2 linked regions of the Arabidopsis thaliana genome follow. The protein of the gene in region 2 interacts with the protein of the main gene of each other region in a pairwise test. Each region holds a gene or a part of one and is shown on either strand. Other genes may lie near its edges. The genes, in order: PFA-DSP3 and AT5G47060.

Region 1 (4,442 bases), on a different chromosome or scaffold from region 2:
TTCTTAGCTATAACTAGAAGATTGCGTAATTGTCAATCTGATTTGCGTTCTTGATCTTGAGTTTTTATCCGATACTTGGGTGATGATTTCTAGGTAGGAGGTGAGTTTTTATCCGATACGTGGGTGATGAATGATGATTCTTAGGTAAGATTTGGTTCGGTTATGGATTTTTCTCGGTTTAGTTCTGGTCAGAAAAATTACGATAGAATTTTCCCGGTTTTGCTTATTCTTTGTCAATTATGTGTTACATAGTTACATAGACAATGTCAATTATAGCTGCACACTTTTTCATTCTGAGAATGGAAATCAAAAAGCTAAATATATAATAGATGAATATAATATGGCTGTTTTAGTAAAAGAATGCTGCTAATCAACTTGTATTTCTTTAATTATCTTTGAAAACATATTTTTCCTAACACATGTGCTAGATTAGTCATATACCTTGTACTGCAGTGCACATGGTATATATTAGAAGCTGACTCGATACTCTTAACCTCCTCTGTTTTCTCTGTTTTAATAATTGATTTCATACCGAAAGTATACTACCGAATGTTATCTTTTAAAATTCAGTTTGATTGGCTAGAGAGGTTTTCTGGACATAAATCAGTTTTTTTTTTCTTTTGATTTGAAAATTGTACTGCAAGTTCTTGCTAATTTTGATCTAATTTCTACTGGTTTGATTATTTAAGAACTCTTTATAAATGATTAGATTATCGAAGAACTCTTTACAAGAATTTAAAACATGGTATTATTGCTGTACCACTTATATTATTGCTAATGGTTATTCCAAAGAGACTTTGAAGTTTAAACAACAAGATTAAGCTAACTTTAGGAGTTTGACCAATAAAATAAAATAAAGCAACATAAGCATGAATGAGTCATTGAGTTAAAAATGACCTCCCCTGCATCAGATTGTAATGAAGAATAAACTTTCTATACATTTCTATTTCTAAAAAACACAATAAAACTTCTGGTTACGGCTTTTGGGGTAAACTAAAACTTATCCCACTTAAAGAATAATCCAGGCACCGATTAAACTCAAATCAGAACACGGAACATATGCCACTTGGTTGCTCTCTTTTTAAACTCTAGCAGCCTGCGGTTTTGGTGTCTTGACATTCTCTTCTTCATATGCCAACCTTCTCCTCTTGAAGCCATAACCGTGATACTGATACATGATGCTCAAGAGACACTGTCTCAAGCTCACTATATCAAATGCCTCTATAAAATTCAAGTCCCTTTGTCTCCATTTTAAACCCGCGTTCTTCTGGTACTCCTCGAGCACCGATGATAAACACCAGCTCTGAACTTTTCTTAAGCATCCCACTAGACAACCTGTCCTATGCTGCAAGTTCACCAAAAACACCAAATCATGAGTGTCCTGTAAATAACTGCCTATTTCCTAAAGGACCACAAAAAGATTGTGTACTGTGCATAACTAAATAAGACAAGCCAAGACCACCATGAGTGTCCTGTAATAAATAATAACATAGGCTAAGTTCCTAGAAGAGGAAGAAGAAACTGTAAATTACCTTCCCGCGTTTGCAATGTATGAGAATTGGATGGTTTCTCACATCTACAGAGAAACAAAAGATCTACTTTAAGACTCATGAACTAGCTAAGAAGAGACCAAAAAACATTATTGAGTGTTGATTCCTTACCAACTAAAACTTTGAGAGCATCCAAAACTGTATCTTTTGGCATAGGAGTTGGAGGATCCTGCATATCGTAAAAGATCCGAGATAAGACATCAAGGACAATTGCATTTCTTTGACAACAAGCAACAAGAAAGAAGCAAAACGCACCGTTTTGCCTTCGATTCCAAATTGGTAAAGCTTAATGTTGTTAGCCTCAAGAAACTTGAGATTCTCCTCTGGGTATGGTTCAGGACACAGATAACTGTTTTGATGAATAAAAAAACGATTAATTACTCCAATCATAATCAATTATCAAACAGTATAATTGAATAACCCAGAAGATTAATAAAGGATCTTACATGATGGAACGAAGATTTAGGGTTTTAAGGAAACTGAAATTCTCAGGTCGAGGAAACCCAGATCGATAAATTCCATCTTCAACCATCGAGAAATTCGACGGCGGCGCTAAAACATCACCGTTGTGATCATCCGTTTCCATAATCAAACACATCGAATTCAGTAAACCTCTAAAAGAATCAAAAAGAGAGAAACAGAGCAAGACCCGAGATTTGATGGGATTGATCTGAGAAGAAGATGTTTTTATAGGAGGAGAAGGGATCAAGTGGGGTTCATAAAGGAGACAACTTTGAAAAGCGTACTCAGATTTTGGGAGCTTTTGGTAGGATCCTTCCTTCCTTTGTTGATTTGCTTAGAAAACCTTAAATGGATTTTAGGGTGGACCTCACTTCAGGAATCTCCAAGATCCTGACACGTGTCGTTTTCTCTGCTTTTATTTGACCTCATAGCTGACGATTCTTTACGAATCTAATTTGGGTCAATCCTGTAAACATTATCTAATTTTGATTAAAATAAATATTCTTAGAAAGTATAGTGGTCGAATCATGAAAGAAAAGTAAAACTAAGTGGTCTCATTTAAAAATTTTGATTCCACAGACTGAAACTTTTGACAAGTGTCGTTGACAAAAAGATGGAAAACACAAAGACTATCCTTAATTGCAAAAATAGGATAAGAAGTAGATATGTCTTTTATCTATCAGTTTAAGTATCTACTTTAGTATATCCAAATTGAGAATCTAATACTTTCCATTTCCTATGAATAATGTAATATTTGCTCATAGGCTATATGAGTCACAGCTAAGATTGATTATTAAGATTCTTATCTAGGGTTTGATTATCTCATACTTGTTTTTCTTTAAAATGCTAAACTATTATTATTTCATCTACTATTTAAAGAAAAACACAAGTACGTAACATTTTTTTTTAAAGGATTACAAAAGCTGAGATAAGTTTTCTCAATCAGATTATCTGATTATACAACTTGTTTCTTTATTAATCTATCAATCCAAAACATCTTCATCATGTATAAAGAGAGATGGTTATAATTTGTTAAGAAAAACCGTCAATATGTATCTTATTTTAATACCCAATTAAGAATTTTTCCCAAAAATAAACCCAAAAAAGTTTCAAATACTTCTTGTGAGCTTCAACGGATTGATAAAAAATCTTGAAAAATGTCACTCTTTAATAGAATCGATCGCAACATCTGATTTTATCCGATGCAAAGAGCCTCCATTGTCATCTCCTGAATCATCATCATTATCAAAGTAAACACTTTGATCATCATCAGTTTTTGAGCTATCAATGTGTTCAATATGAGTATGCTTTTCTTCTGCCTCTTCCTCTTCCTCTTCTTCTTTCCCTTTCTCGTCTTGATCTCTGTCGCTATCATAACGCGAAGAAGTACTTTCGTCGTTTGATTTTTGGCTGCTTTTACTGCTTAGCCTCTCATCATTGACATCAATATCTTCCCAGCTATATCTATACTTTATCTTCAAGCTTTGCGCCTGGTTCTTCTCATCAATAGGCTTTGGTGGTTGGTCCTTTTCATGTTCAGAGTTAGAATCAGACTCATCATCAGATTCCATTGAGCTATCTTCCTCTTCATGTTTCTTCTTATACTCATTCTTACTCACACTCTCCTTTTCGCTCTCCAAAGATGATTCTTCGCCTGATGAGGTACTAGATTTGTCATCTTCCGTAGCTAGCTCAGGAGGAGGAGATACAAGATTTGAATCATGTCGGCTTAAGGCTATAGACATGCTCTTGTCTTTGAAGGATAAGATAGGAACTGTTGTGGGAATACCATCTTCTGTAGGCATCGAAAGGAAGCTAAGCGCAACCATTACATCGCTTATAAGAGGACGAGCTGATGCTTCCTCTTGCACACACATTGAAGCTATTGCCACTGCTTGGTTTAATCCTCTCTCTGAGAATTTATTCTCCAAAACTGGATCTGCCATATCGGGATACCTCTTCGGATCTCTAAATATCGGTTGTGCCTGCGATAACATGAATTGTTCAGCAAGATAAAAACTTCTTGTTTTAACTTGGTTGAAAAAGTGCAATAATATTAGGGTTTGTTATTTATTACCCAAGAAACTAAGTTCTGTTCATCATTAGGCCTAGTAGTATCAAGAGCTCTTCGACCCGTGATAAGCTCAAGCAACACAACACCAAAGCTATAGACATCTGATTTCAAAGTGAGATTTCCGCCTCGTGTATACTCAGGTGCAGAGTAACCATAAGTTCCCATTACTCGTGAAGATAAAGCCATCATCTTATCACCTGTCCCGGGTCCTAGCTTATGTAGACCAAAATCAGAAAGCTTAGGAGAAAAGTCATCATCTAACAAAATGTTTGAAGCTTTCAAATCTCTGTATATCACGGGTGGATTCGCTTTATCGTGCAAGTAATCAAGCCCTTGCGCTGCAGCATACGCTATCT
Region 2 (4,366 bases):
TTTATTGTTCTTGATATTTTCGGACAGGCACAATGTTAAACATTAAGTTATATTAAATGTGGTCATAGAGACATGATTAGTAGTTTAGGATCGAGACTTCTGTGAACCGGGGATGTGTGTTTAGTGTTTAGATTGGAAGATAATTTCCTATTTATTTGGTTGACAGGTGATATATAGAGATTTCAAATCCTCTAATGTGCTTTTAGACGATCAATTCTGTCCAAAATTATCGGACTTTGGGCTTGCCAGAGAAGGACCTGATGGCGACAATACTCATGTCACTACCGCAGTAAGTTTGGTTTGATATATAAATGTGCATTTTATAAGCTCACTCGTACTTTAAAGTGATGAATCTGTTACAAAGTTTTAACAGTTCTTCTTCTTTCTATGTATAGAGAGTTGGAACACACGGCTATGCGGCTCCGGAATACGTGCAAACAGGTCATCTTCGGTTAAAGAGCGACGTCTATAGCTTCGGTGTTGTGCTCTACGAGATCATAACCGGACGCAGAACCATTGAGAGGAACAAGCCAGTGGCTGAACGAAGGCTATTGGATTGGGTCAAAGAGTATCCTGCTGATAGTCAACGTTTCAGCATGATCGTTGACCCTCGGTTACGCAACAATTATCCAGCTGCTGGAGCTAGGAGTTTGGCTAAATTGGCTGATCTTTGCCTGAAAAAGAACGATAAAGAGCGACCTACGATGGAAATTGTAGTGGAAAGATTGAAAAAGATTATCGAAGAATCGGATAGTGAAGATTATCCGATGGCTACGACTACGACCAAGGAAAGTAGTCAGGTAAGGAGGAGACAAGTTGCAAAACCTGAGAAACAAAGTTTGAGAGGGGTTAGTGTCAGAGGATGATTTTGAGTTTAGAAGTTTTTTTGCAAGTTTATATATTATAAATAAGTTTATGCAATTTGTTGGTTTATTGTGAGATTAGTAGAGAAAATGTATCTTATTGTGTGTTTTGTAAATAAAATTCAATACGGTGAATGAGAATCATTGAGATCAAGTTTTATGAGAGTGTTTTGATGTTGATAGCGTAACGTTTTAGCCAAAGTTTTCTATGTACGAATGCAAATGCAATGTTGTTGTTTGGAATTTATCATGAAAACTTTATACGTTTTAAGCATTATTACATTCTACAAATCTTATTTTAATATATATATATATATATTTATACTTCAATTTATTTGAGTTTCTGGTCCACTGATAATCAAAAAAGATATCTAATTATTTGTTTCAGAAAATATTGTACTACCGATTTCGTGAAGAAAAAGAAAACTGTACTATCAAAAGCATTTGAAGGAAAAAGATATTTTATACCTTTATTTCCCACTTTTCGCAAGTCACCAAATCTTACCACAAAAAGAATCAATTTCAAACTATTGCTCAATCTTATATCAAATCACAAATACGTCATTTAAACTATATAGCAAGTACTTACCAAAAAAAAAACTATATAGCAAGTTAAAAAAAAATGCTTACTCTTGTTTTCTCGTATAATATTCTCATATTTCAACATATTAAAATTTGATTTAACATCTGTATATCCCTCGAAAGACATTGATACCGAAATCTAAAAACAAAAGAAAAAATATAACTCAAACATGCCATGGACTATTATAATTCACATAGGCATTTACATTTTCTCTTCTCATACTCCCAAAATTTCATGTCAAGAAACTATTTTTTTCTTACAAAAAAAGAAAAGAAAATTAAAGGATCTTTAGCTTCTTCATCTTTTTCCCAAGACTTGAAGCTAAAGTTTTAAAAGATCCTTAAGATCTCGAGAGAAAGAGAGAGGATCCAAAACCAGCTTCATAGCGTTAGATACAATATAGCTTATTTTTTTCTTAACCTAATTAATTATAATAATTCTCAAAGTTCCCAGATATTTTTAATTAAGCAGCAGCAACAGTTCCATTGTGAAAAGCATAATCACGAGATCTAGTTGGTGAAGATTGTTCTTTCCTCCGCATAGCTGATTTCACCGAATGAGACAGATTCTGTTTCTTCTCTTTTGCTTCATCTCTCTCTATCTGTTCTTGTCTACACTCTTCACTGCAAAACGGTGTATCTCCTCTGCAAAAAATTCACAAAATCAAAAACTTCAAATCAGACCCATGAAACAACAAAATTAAAAATATGTTCTGTTCTAGAATTTGTACCAAAAACAGAGGAATTTGAAATCAGACCCATGAATCGTTTAATTGATTAATCAGAAGATTGAAGAAATGGGTATTCGAAAAAAATCAATCCTTTCGTAATAATTTCGACTAAAAATGAGAGAAATTGATAGAAAACAAAAAAAAAACAGATCTGATGTTATAGATCTTAGATGTTACCTGTACATGTAGATGTCTCTGTTATCACCAAGAGGTTTCTTACAGAGGAAACACGAGTCCAAGAAATGAGGTTGTTGAATATCGAATCTGAAATCATGAAATCTTCCAGACACAACAGATCTCGGAGACGAAACAGAGTATTGATTGTAATAATAACTCTGACTGTTCCTAAGACTGTTTAATCTACCGTAAGAGAAACGGCTTGAAGAAACGACACCGTTTTGGGGATTTCCATGGTTATTACTATTATTATTGTTACCAGAAAACCCAGCTTCCATTTCTGATAAAGAAGAAGCCAAATTCTCTTCTTCTTCTTCCTCAATGAAATAAGGCTTTCTCGATGAAAGCTCCATTTTTTTTTTTTCTGGTTTTTAGAGAGAAAGTGAAAGAGAGAGAGGTTTTGTTGTTGATGTGAAGAAAGTGTGAAGTGGGATTTTATAGCAAAAGATCTTTTTTTTTTTTTTGGGGTTTAAGAGAGAGAAAGTAAAAACAAGGGGCGAAACTTTGAGAGAGGAGAATCTATTGGCTTTTATGCTATTTTTGAAAGTACAAGAAATCGAAAACCATTTTTGTTGTTTTCCTTTTGAGAAATATACTTTATTGACACATAGAGGAATAATTGATAGAGAGGCGTTACAAAATGGTCTTTTTCGTGACTTACTCGTCCTTCGGTTTTTGAGGAACTTTCGAGAGAGCTAAGTAAAAAAGTTAAATGTTTTTTTTCGACATTCACTTTTTAGTTCAATTATTAACTTTTAATTTTCTTTTTTACTTAGACAACATTATTAAAGTAAAATTATTAACTGATTGTCAATGCAATAATACATGAAGAAGTTGCAAAGTTTGAAAATTTTCGTATGATTAGGAATTACTGTCAAAATTGTTGCATTTTTAACATTATTTTTAAGATATATAGTCGACAAAAAAATTAAGAAAACAATGTAATTATCGTAAATATTTTTTTATGAAATTGATAACTTGTTACTTTACATAATGTGATACAAAAAAAAATTGTTTAAACACACATGAAATCAATAATTATTTATTTATTAATTTCATCTATTTTGGTTTTAGAAATGAAATGATAGAATTTTACTATCTTAGTTATTAATCTCTTGTACAAAAATTATTTTTCTATTAATCATAAATATATCTTATACTAATCAGATTTTTTTAAGTAGTAGTTGGATGGATCCTACTAACAATTTAAAGACAATAATTTCTACAAGCTAATTTTTTAGAGATCAATAAATATATACAGCTATAATTCTACCAGACATTTTAACCACTGTAACTTACGGTGGTGTTACATTGAACAAGTGATCACATCCGTCTAAAGAGAAGTAAACTTTTTCTGAAGGCATTCAAACAAAAGTTTTAAGGTAACAAAAACAAGAAGGAAGCAACAAAATAGCGGCAAGATTGTAATTAACAGAAGTATAAGGGTCACAAATGAAAGTACATAAAACTACATCAGGGTTCCATAAAACAAGGGTCCCACCAGCACTCGAGAGACGTTAAAGAAAATCATGGGGATTCGGGGGAGAGGTGGGCCCTACGCGCGTGGGGTTTTTGGAATAAGCGTTACACCGTAATCACTACACCACTTCTACTACTTGTGTTGTGTTGTGTCTCTCTTCTTCTTATTATATGGCGACAAAATGGTAAGAATATTGTTTTTTACTTAATTTTTTTATTAAATCAAGAATTACAAAATTGTCGTTTTATTTGGTTATGAATTTTCGTGGTGGTGGGTGACGTTTTTGCGAAGACTTTGAGGGAGGTGCTTTGTGAGGTACAACTACAAATAATAGTGGTGCAATGAGGTCGGTGTTTTTCTAATGTTAGAATAGGTGTGTGACTGACTAGTTGTGATTTCGATATTTATGGTAAGTATAGTTTGAATTTCTAATAATAGTGTGGACCTTGTTGAATAGTGGAATCGAAATAACAAATAAGAATTAGTGGAACTCTTGTTTGTATATATTAATTCAATAAATTATGTGATCTATC

Evidence for each region.
Region 1: the proteins of AT5G47060 (region 2) and PFA-DSP3 interact in a two-hybrid assay, tested with the Arabidopsis thaliana proteins (one study listed by BioGRID).

The regions. Positions count from the first base shown.
Region 1 is NC_003074.8:605,557-609,998, forward strand, and holds PFA-DSP3 (Tyrosine phosphatase family protein), read right to left. Parts: upstream 2,352-4,442; 5' UTR 2,149-2,351; coding exon 1,997-2,148; intron 1,900-1,996; coding exon 1,806-1,899; intron 1,720-1,805; coding exon 1,662-1,719; intron 1,577-1,661; coding exon 1,533-1,576; intron 1,346-1,532; coding exon 1,082-1,345; 3' UTR 729-1,081; downstream 1-728. Other genes in the region: AT3G02810 (Protein kinase superfamily protein), read right to left, coding at 3,173-3,997, 4,090-4,442. UniProt on the Arabidopsis thaliana protein: Cleaves the beta-phosphate at the 5-position of soluble inositol pyrophosphates. Has highest activity on 5-diphosphoinositol 1,2,3,4,6-pentakisphosphate (5-InsP(7)), 1,5-bis-diphosphoinositol 2,3,4,6-tetrakisphosphate (1,5-InsP(8)) and 3,5-InsP(8).
Region 2 is NC_003076.8:19,115,183-19,119,548, reverse strand, and holds AT5G47060 (hypothetical protein (DUF581)), read right to left. Parts: upstream 2,765-4,366; 5' UTR 2,707-2,764; coding exon 2,354-2,706; intron 2,091-2,353; coding exon 1,910-2,090; 3' UTR 1,332-1,909; intron 1,085-1,331; downstream 1-1,084. Other genes in the region: AT5G47070 (Protein kinase superfamily protein), read left to right, coding at 167-289, 396-866. UniProt on the Arabidopsis thaliana protein: May act as an adapter to facilitate the interaction of SnRK1 complex with effector proteins, conferring tissue- and stimulus-type specific differences in the SnRK1 regulation pathway.